Drosophila melanogaster: one gene and its partner. The protein of the gene in region 1 interacts with the protein of each later gene in a pairwise test. Each region holds a gene or a part of one and is shown in the gene's direction. Other genes may lie near its edges.

Region 1 (5,103 bases):
TGAGTGACACCTTGTGAGCGGATCACCGCAATTTCTCGCAGTGCACGACCCAGACATGACACTAGCCGGGCTTCCATCCAACCAACCAGTCAGCCAGCCAGCCAGCCAGCCAGCAGCCAGCCATCCAATCGAGCTGGCTCCTTTTGGGTGGCTTCGTCGCATTTGATGCTTGACATTGTTGGCAGTCGATATTGGTTGTAATTAGCTTTAATTGAAATTGCTACACTCCCGTCCAGCCAACACGGGTATGTATGTATGTATGTATGTATGCGCTGGTGTGTGGCACCGTGATTTGGGTTTTAATGGGGGAAATGGGAAAATGTTTGTAATTTTGGCAAAGTTAATTTATGGAGACCCCGCACGAATCCCTGACCCAGCCGCATTTTCATCAGCCACCTCGATGTCATGACGCATTTTACATTGGCCGTTTGCCACTCAAATAATTAGAGAAGTTTCATCCGAAAAGTTCATACATTTCTGCAATTTTGCGGATTGTTTGAATTGAATTCGATTCGGCCATTTGCCGTTTTGGCTGCAAATTGGTATGAGTTGCGAAAACAATATGCACATAGATAGAAAGTAGGTAAATATATTGCCGGAAATTAGATAAACAAATTTACAATAAATATTAAATGGCAGCAGTGAAATCAATTTTAATGCTATGCCGGCATACCTTTATGCGGGCAATGTCAGAAATATCAAATTAATCTCTGGCTAAAAATAACAATAATCATTTTAACCAAATTATCAATTGTAAGCACTATTTGCACTATTTGATTTCATTATAACATTGTTTTCCCCAAATACCGCATATCATGTACTTATATTGCACTAATCAAAGTTAGTTTACCCAGGTGAATCGCAGTGGAAATCTTTGAGGAGTTTATGGACACATAAGCACGGTTTATGGCGCAGATATCAAAAGGAATACTATTCATTGTCTGCGAGAGAACACGTTTATCAGTTTTGTGTGTATCGCGATTTGTCAGTTGAAATTCGGTAAGGTAAATAAACGAAAATCATACATTTGGGTTTTATGCAAATGGTAAATAAACAAAGTGACATCTTTATCGGTGTTTGTTTACGCCAAATGATTAATCTAATATAATATTTGGGCAAGTATTTAGATATTTAGAAGCTATTTGTATTATTGATACGCATGACGAGCACTGTAAAGTCAAGTCAATTAGACCGCCAATTAACTAATTGACTTTTCCACCGCCATGCATTCAATGTGACTCAATTACCAAATCCCCTCTAAAGTTCATCAAACGATGGGCAAACGAAACGTCGCGACCATATCAATACGAATTGATTAACGTGGCCATAAAGCCATCAAGCGCTTTCGATTTCCGATTGATTGAGCTTCTCAAGACTGCCTAATTAAAGAAAAACCAATCGTTATCTCGGGTCATCAATCATATTTTTTATTGCATACTTTTTCGTGTCACATATAGGGCCATATAAACAATGTATTTTCACACCGCCAAGAGTACCAGTTATGACATTGCATTTGCCAATGGTAAATTCTCAACTGAATTTATGGCCTGGGAAGCGTTGAGGAAATTATTTTGTTGACCATTTTATGGGTCGCACAACTCGAGAGGGCCTTAAGTTCGTGATATACTCGCGGCAGTGCAGTAGCCACATGAAGCTATATAGTTGGCTTACACCATTGGCTGCTTGATCGCCTTGATTTACGCCTCTTCTACCAGAAGAGCGGGCTTTGGGCCACCTTTATTTTCAGGTGGGTGGATCATACAAGAAGATAAGACTTACAGCCACATAACTTCGGGCAATTCTTCGCAAATCGGAGAGTGAGTAGGTGAGCAAGTGAGTGAGTGAGTGCGTGAATGAATGGGTGAGCAAGAGAGCGGTTTCAATTCGATTCGCTTCAATTCTTCCGATCGCGTTTACAGACGTGAGTGTGTGTGTGTGCCTATAAAACGCTGGCAGGAATTTGCAGCGACTTAGTCGTGCTTTTGGCCAGGTTGCGGTTCGACTTCGCCACAGTTTTCCGCCTCCGTGGTCCGCGTTTTGTGAATATGAAAGTAAAAGTCAACGCAGAACGACTAACTGAGTTCTAATTAGTCGAGTGCTGGCGCCATTCCGAGAAAAGTGAAGAAGATTAAAACACGAAGACAACGAAAAGTGACAAAGTGCTTTCAGATTTGAAACATCAACGAAAGTTGCCTAATTTCCTCCTGGCCGCCGTGTGAATACAAAGTAGGTTTTGCCACTCATTCCCATCTTCGAGTTCAGTGGCTGTAATAAAGTAAATACTTAAGATATTTCACATTTCTGGCTGTACGTGTTTTTTTTTTTGTTATGGCGACTCCAATCGAAATGCCAAAGCAGCCAAAACAGTGCAAATGCAAATTACATTCGTTTATGATTAAAACACCCGCTTGCGACTTTGAGCTGTTATTAATTTTGCTCATATATTTCACTTTATTTACGTTTTGCTGACCATTTGCATATTGACCGAAATTAATGAAATGTGAATGATTTCTTAATGAACTCGAAATGAATGCATAAGAATATTTTATTGCATGAGGAAAATCAATTTGCAGTGCTACCAATTGTATCATCATTTAAATGCTATTAAGCGAACATCTCAAGCGGGTTAACCCTTTAATGTAAGCTGTGAACGAGTTTCAGAACGCATTAATTCCGTATCAGTATCAATAAAATCAATCACATTGCCAAGGAAATGCGCAGTGCGTATAACGGTTGTGCATTGTATTATATATTATATACATTGTATCACAATCAAAGAGAAGGTTTCTGCATCTACGTTTCGAATAATTAGATCTACATATAATGAGTGTTTCAACTTTGATTCTGTCATGTCATACACAGATATATAGCACGTATATTGCTCTACTTTAGATACTTCAGTTACTTAAAGATACAAATTTAGTTTCCGTCTTTTGAAGTTGCATTGATACGAAGTAATATAACTTATATATTAATATGAATTAATACTCAACTTTAATTCTTTTCTGTGCACTGCAATAGAATAAACAATGATCCAGATCAAAACGTGCCGAAAAACACCTTAATGATAGCAGTAAATATTACCAAAATGTGTAACCTCTATCCGAAACAGTATCTCGAGTATACCCATCATTTAAGTACATTATTTGTGCGGTTTAGATAAGCAGAGGAAGTCTCACCATGATAAAGGAAATACATGCATAATTAAACGAGAAGAGTGATACACGGGCCAAATCTTATCGAATGCCTCGAAAATTGGGCCAATAAACACTTACCACAATTAGCAGTTGTCAATGGAACTAATGACAAAGGCCAAAGCCAGACGAAACGAGTGTAGAACAGCGTGAAGTGGATCCGACTGTGGATTACAGATATTGATAATGTTTTAATAAACAATTCGCGCAATTGAGGCAGATAAACCCCCAGTGGAAAGCACCTGAGACACACTGAAATCCAAAGAGGGCTCGATGGCTCGAAGGAAGGGGGCTCGGGGGAAATTGAAAGCGAAATCGAAATCGAATCTGTAGCCGATTATATAGAAACAACATTCATGGCTGATTGAGATTCGATTCGAGTGGAGTGGGTCTGTTAATGAAACACTCGTAAGTGGAGTAATCACACACATATTTCGCGATCCGATAGCAATCGTGAAACCAATTTTAAGGAGGGGGACCCGATCCCGTCTGCGTATTTAGCATTCGGTATGAAATCAATCACAATCCACACTTGGCCACACGGTAGTTGGGGTAGTAGGGCAATATCAAGCCAATTAAGTAGTCCGGCGCACCGATAAGGGTTTACCGCTACCCCACCGTCCCCCTTATCAAACCACAACTAGCATGGGCCCCTTCGATTTTTACGAGCCGCCAACTTGAGTGTTCGGTGGATTTTTATTTAGCCTTTCGTTCGATTTGATCTTTATGGCTAAATCTTTTTCGCCATAGCGCCCTTTGCTATCGCCGTCGATTGTCAGATAAGCCGCGAATATATTATATTATATGAATGTTCTACATGCTGCGATCAATCATCATCGCAAAAGTCTTTTATATTTGCAATAAATTAATGCAAATATACAGCCGTAGATAACTTTGTGAAAGCTCCAACGAAATCCGTCGACCATAAAAGATTCCACCGATGCCATCTAGCACTTGATAACTTCAATCGAGCGCTATTTAAAGAATTTTCCTTAACTTCTTCGAGCAATGGCATCGAATGTCTTTGCAAAACCCATTTAATTGATCAATTGAACGATTGGACTGGAGCTAAGTGAGAGTTGGAGGACGTCTCCTTTGACGTCAATCTGAAGTTAAGCGCACAGGAACCGATTCATGGTAATAAACTCTGTTTTATTGGCGCCCAATAAAGAATCATTGTGATCATTGGTTTTATCAGAAGACAACCTTTAATAGATATTTTTCGAAATATTCCATTTCATTTCTGGCGATTGCTTAAGTACGAGGAGTAATTTAACTGTGAAAGTGTGTCTAAAACCATATAAGCTGTTAGCAACTATATATACACAAAAAAATTAAATAGCTGTTAGCAACTATAGATACACAAAAAAATTAAATAACTTTGCACCTTGAAAAACATGATTCCATGTTTCCCAGCTAAAGTCAATTAACAGTCCTACAACCGGCTAATCGCAGCCGGAAAAAGCCCAGTGGAGATTAGCCAAGTGTCCAATATCATCATATCTCCCTCGCCATTGGTCACATGTGACTCCGATTGATAAGAATCCGTGGAAATGGCCGACTGTGTATTCTCTCCATTTGAATTCGATTCAAGTGAATTGTTCTCAAATTTTACACGCTCCACACACTCAAGTGCTTTGGGGATTAATTGTGTAAGAATGCGCGTACCTTATTATCACTGCTGATTATCTATTGCTGGGCAGTTCCGTAGACAATGCTCAACTCTGTCAATCGATTAGATTAACACAATGGCTATGGGATAACAGTCGTGCCATTTACAAGAGAAAAAAAAATGAAGAAAAACCAAAGACGAAGCACTGAAATGCGTTTGTCGTCTGACCAGATTTGAAAGTGAATCACGTCACAGGTAGCTGCTACTAATACGGATACTACTTCTCCATCCAAGCCC
Region 2 (3,963 bases), about 13 Mb from region 1:
GCGCCACTGGAGCGGGAATTAGGTTAGCTTGGGCTGTTTGTACTCGGTCCGGGGAGTTCTGGTTGCGCCGCGCGTTTCGTTCCGGTGACATTGACCGACTGTGAGAGCGCCGGCTCTTATTGTTGCCAAATCGAGGACGATCATCTGCGTTGCCACCGATGCGCCGGCGATCAAAGTTGCGCCGACCATGATGGCGATTGTCGGTCTGCGAGCCTGGTGGAGATTTGTTACGGAATTGTCGTTGAGTTTTCTCGCGTTCGTTCACCCGTCGGTCGCGTGACCTGGACCGCCGAAAAGCGCGCTCGTTAGAACGCGATCGAGAGCGGGAACGGGATCGCAGGGAAGCACGTCGTCGTCGACTGTCGCGCGGCTGGTTTTCCTTGTCAGCATAACCCGCCGCAAGACCTGCTCCGCCGGGACCACCTCCTCCACTTCCGCTGACGCCGCTGCTTCTGCCCGGTGGGCTGGCACTGCGCACATGATGGTGTTGGTAGTTGGAGGCTGACTGTTGATTGTGGGAGTCTTTGGTTTTATGCTGCTGGATAAATTAGAAATATAAACAAAACAGCTAAGGCGAAGCTACCACTAAAACTCACATCAAAGGCTGGCTTGGCATCTGTAGGGACGTGCATGGCAATGCCGGCTTCCTGGCTGATAAAAGCTAGGGCCTCAGCTTCCCTGGCATCTTGACTGGCCTGCTCTAACTTGACCTGATTGCTATCGGGTTTTATCACATTATCTTTAGGAGGCGGTGGAGGGGAATCGGCAACCAAAACCGCTTCGATGTCGTCCTGGGGCCCATCAATGACCAGGGCCAGTTCCTGGTCGACTGTTAGCTCAGCGGTGGATGCACTAGAGGCTGTTATTAGAGGGGCAGCAGGGACCGTCAGGTATTCCTCGCTGGCAATGGCATCGAAGAGGCGTTCAACGAAACGTGTCGTCTCCTCGGACAGGAAAACATCGAGCTGTTCGATCATGATCCGCTTAAGGTCTTTATCCGATTTGTCCTTCTTGAGCAGCGCGATGACATATCGCGCCAAGGCCGAGGAGTCCGCATCGCAGCTGTAAGTGGGAGGGTGGTATGTGACGGGGTTAGTTCCAGGGATAGCGATGAAATAGCGGCTTTCAAGAACTTACAGTGGCTCCAGGACCACGCTCAGCCAATCCTTGAGCTTGTCCGAATTCTCCAGAATCATGCTAAGGCGGGTTGTTTCTACTGCTTGCTGCTGCTGCTGTTGTTTTTGTTTTTTGGTTGGGGGCTTCTTGCGTTGGTCTGCGCTAATCTGGGTGGGGGGTTAATCGTGCTCGGGGGGCAAACACGCCCGAAAAATTATTTTTAAGATGACCTCTGTCGCTCTGGCGACTGTGCTCCTGCGATTTGGGTGAACTTCTTACTTCCTGTTACCGCCGTTGCTTCTGCTTTTAATCTCTGAAATTGGATTTCGGCGTTTATTTTACTTTTTGTCGTACTTTTTCCTTCCTTCTTTTAATTGCTTCTTCTTCCCATCTGCTATCGTCAATAAGAAAGTTTCTCGATTTTGCTACCCGATACTTTTTGCTTGCGTACAAGCACGACGCACACACACAGCGCGCACAAACACACAGGCACGCAGAACTCACATACATACGTATTAGCAGCACCCAGTTTTTTGCGCCCAAATTTCTTGGGTTTTTCGAGCCCATTTTTCAACACAAACTCCAAAGACACATACCTCAATGCTTAAATTTAACTTATTATTAAGATTTGTACAACAAATTGTGGTTTGAACAGCTATTTTTATATTTTTCACTGCACTTTTCCTGTTGCAAGGTTGCTTTTGACGAGTCTAGGCTGCGTAGTCGATATATTGCCAGGTATATCGATAGCCTTCGATAACGGAATGCCCTCGAAACAGTGTTGACAGCTATAGACTATACCGTAGCTAAAGGTAATATATGAGTTTAAAATATAAGTTAAAGGTTTACGCTTTTTTAAATTATATTGGATATATTATATTCGATATTATATTATAAGAAAGCGCTAGCTTGCCGTCTAATTTTGACACTAAATATAGATAATCTATATAGATAGATTATAGATAGAAGACATTTGTCTAGAATTCCGCTATTTTGTATCCATTCATTTCACAACGTATTCATCCCTGGTCATTTCGTTTATCTGCGAAATTCTTTTTGTTGTGGATTAGACGTAAATTATTGCCATGTGCAGCATTGGTGAAGATGATTTTGGAGACGAGGGTGCCGCCCACGCCATGGTAGTGGAATCCCTACCATTAGGAATCGTCCTCAGTCCAGGGAATTGCAGCAAATGCGATGTAAACTCCGGCGAGCTCTACAAACTCAACTTCCGAACTGCGGAGTGCCGGGAATGCTTTCTAGCGTATGCGAGGCACAAGTTTCGGGCAGCTCTGGGAGCCGCCAAGATTCTGCCCAGAAACGCCGAGGTGCTTCTTGTCCTGGACGGGTCCGCAGAGTCGCTCGTTCTGCTCGACATGTTGCACTTCGCGCAAACACAGAACACGTTTAAAAGACTCCATTGCAACGCACGTGTGGTCTACGTGGAGGAGCAGCAAGTGCAAGGTCGCGATCCTGTGGACTTGGAAGCTCTGCAGAGATTATCAACACAATACGCACCCTTCGATTTCTATGTGATTGAACTGGGCGCCTTGCCCAGCTCCTTGCAGCGGATCAAGGATTATAGTCCTTTCCTCAACGCAAACAATGAGCTTATCCACAAGCTTCAAAAACTGCGAAGTCTGACAGCTCGCCAGGATTACCTCCAGCAACAGCGCAAGAACCTCATCTGCTCCGTGGCTCAGTGTCTGCAATGTACTCACGTCTTTGAATCTAATATAAGTGTTGACTTAGCCACCCAGCTGCTGACTGCAATAGCGCTAGGTCGTGGCGGTAGTGCCGCCTTGGATGTGGCTCTCCTCGACGATCGGCTGTCTGGAGATGTTAAGCTGCTGCGACCTCTCAAGGACCTAACTGAGCAGGAGATTCAATTTTACATACATGCACAGCGTCTAAAGCCACATTTTCAAAAAGGCTCACGTTATGGGATGGAGCATGGTGAGACTGCCAGCTTACAGAACCTTACATCAGCCTTTGTGGCCAATCTGCAGCAAAACTTCGCCTCCACAGTATCCACAGTGTTCCGAACTGGCGACAAAATAGCTGTCAATTCCAATCCAGAGCAGTCCTCTTGTGTTCACTGTCGATCTACACTGGACTCCGAACTATCCGACACTCTGCTGGCTATTGAGTACTCCAGATCTGTTTCAGAGGCCGGCGTGAGCCTGTACAAAAGCGGACAAGATCTCGAGGGCTTGGCCAAGAAGCGATTGGAGAACAAGGACGGTTTGTGCCACGCATGCCGCGCCATACAGACCGAGTTGGATAGTGGTAACTTGTTGTAGCGCAAGAGGAAATATATATATTTTCTATTAAAACTATATTCTTTTACTACAACTTGGCTAGCTTGTTATTGACAAGAGGCTGCAGTGGCAGATGCCCATCGCAGGGCGGTATATTGGAGGCCAGTACGACCTTGTGGAAGTCGTAGACGATATAGCGATTGTATTGCTTGGACTTTCGATGAAGGTCGTCCACCGATCCCGACAAGATAATTGTTTGTGTACAAGCGCCTGGTTCTTTGGGATAGAGCTCATCACCAGGAAGAACTCCAAACATGCAGTCATCGCAGCGATAGTAGACGGGCTGCACCATTGTGCTTCCATTGCAGCTCCTTTGGCGGGAGAAGTTGAGAAGCTCCTGAAAGCTATAGAAGTTCATCAGACGAGCGATGTCATAGAGCAGCATGAACGGGAGCCAAATAATGGCTTTCTGTGAGCTCGACCAAGCCTCGATCGGACTCAACCAGTGGGCCGAAGCCACCTCGTGCGGTTCCAGAAGCAGCTTTATATTCCTGGTGTACTTATCTAACATGGTGATATAATAAAC

Evidence for each region.
Region 2: the proteins of Nha1 (region 1) and Ctu2 interact in a two-hybrid assay, tested with the Drosophila melanogaster proteins (one large-scale study listed by BioGRID).

What each region holds. Positions count from the first base shown.
Region 1 is NT_033779.5:6,867,257-6,872,359, reverse strand, and holds the start of Nha1 (Na[+]/H[+] hydrogen antiporter 1), read left to right. Parts: upstream 1-1,970; 5' UTR 1,971-2,226; intron 2,227-5,103.
Region 2 is NT_033779.5:19,491,132-19,495,094, reverse strand, and holds Ctu2 (cytosolic thiouridylase subunit 2), read left to right. Parts: upstream 1-1,841; 5' UTR 1,842-1,928; intron 1,929-2,131; exon of another isoform or gene 2,132-2,186; 5' UTR 2,187-2,201; coding exon 2,202-3,419; 3' UTR 3,420-3,448; downstream 3,449-3,963. Other genes in the region: swm (second mitotic wave missing), read right to left, coding at 1-538, 597-1,062, 1,138-1,196; CG18094 (uncharacterized protein), read right to left, coding at 3,466-3,963. UniProt on the Drosophila melanogaster protein: Plays a central role in 2-thiolation of mcm(5)S(2)U at tRNA wobble positions of tRNA(Lys), tRNA(Glu) and tRNA(Gln). May act by forming a heterodimer with NCS6/CTU1 that ligates sulfur from thiocarboxylated URM1 onto the uridine of tRNAs at wobble position.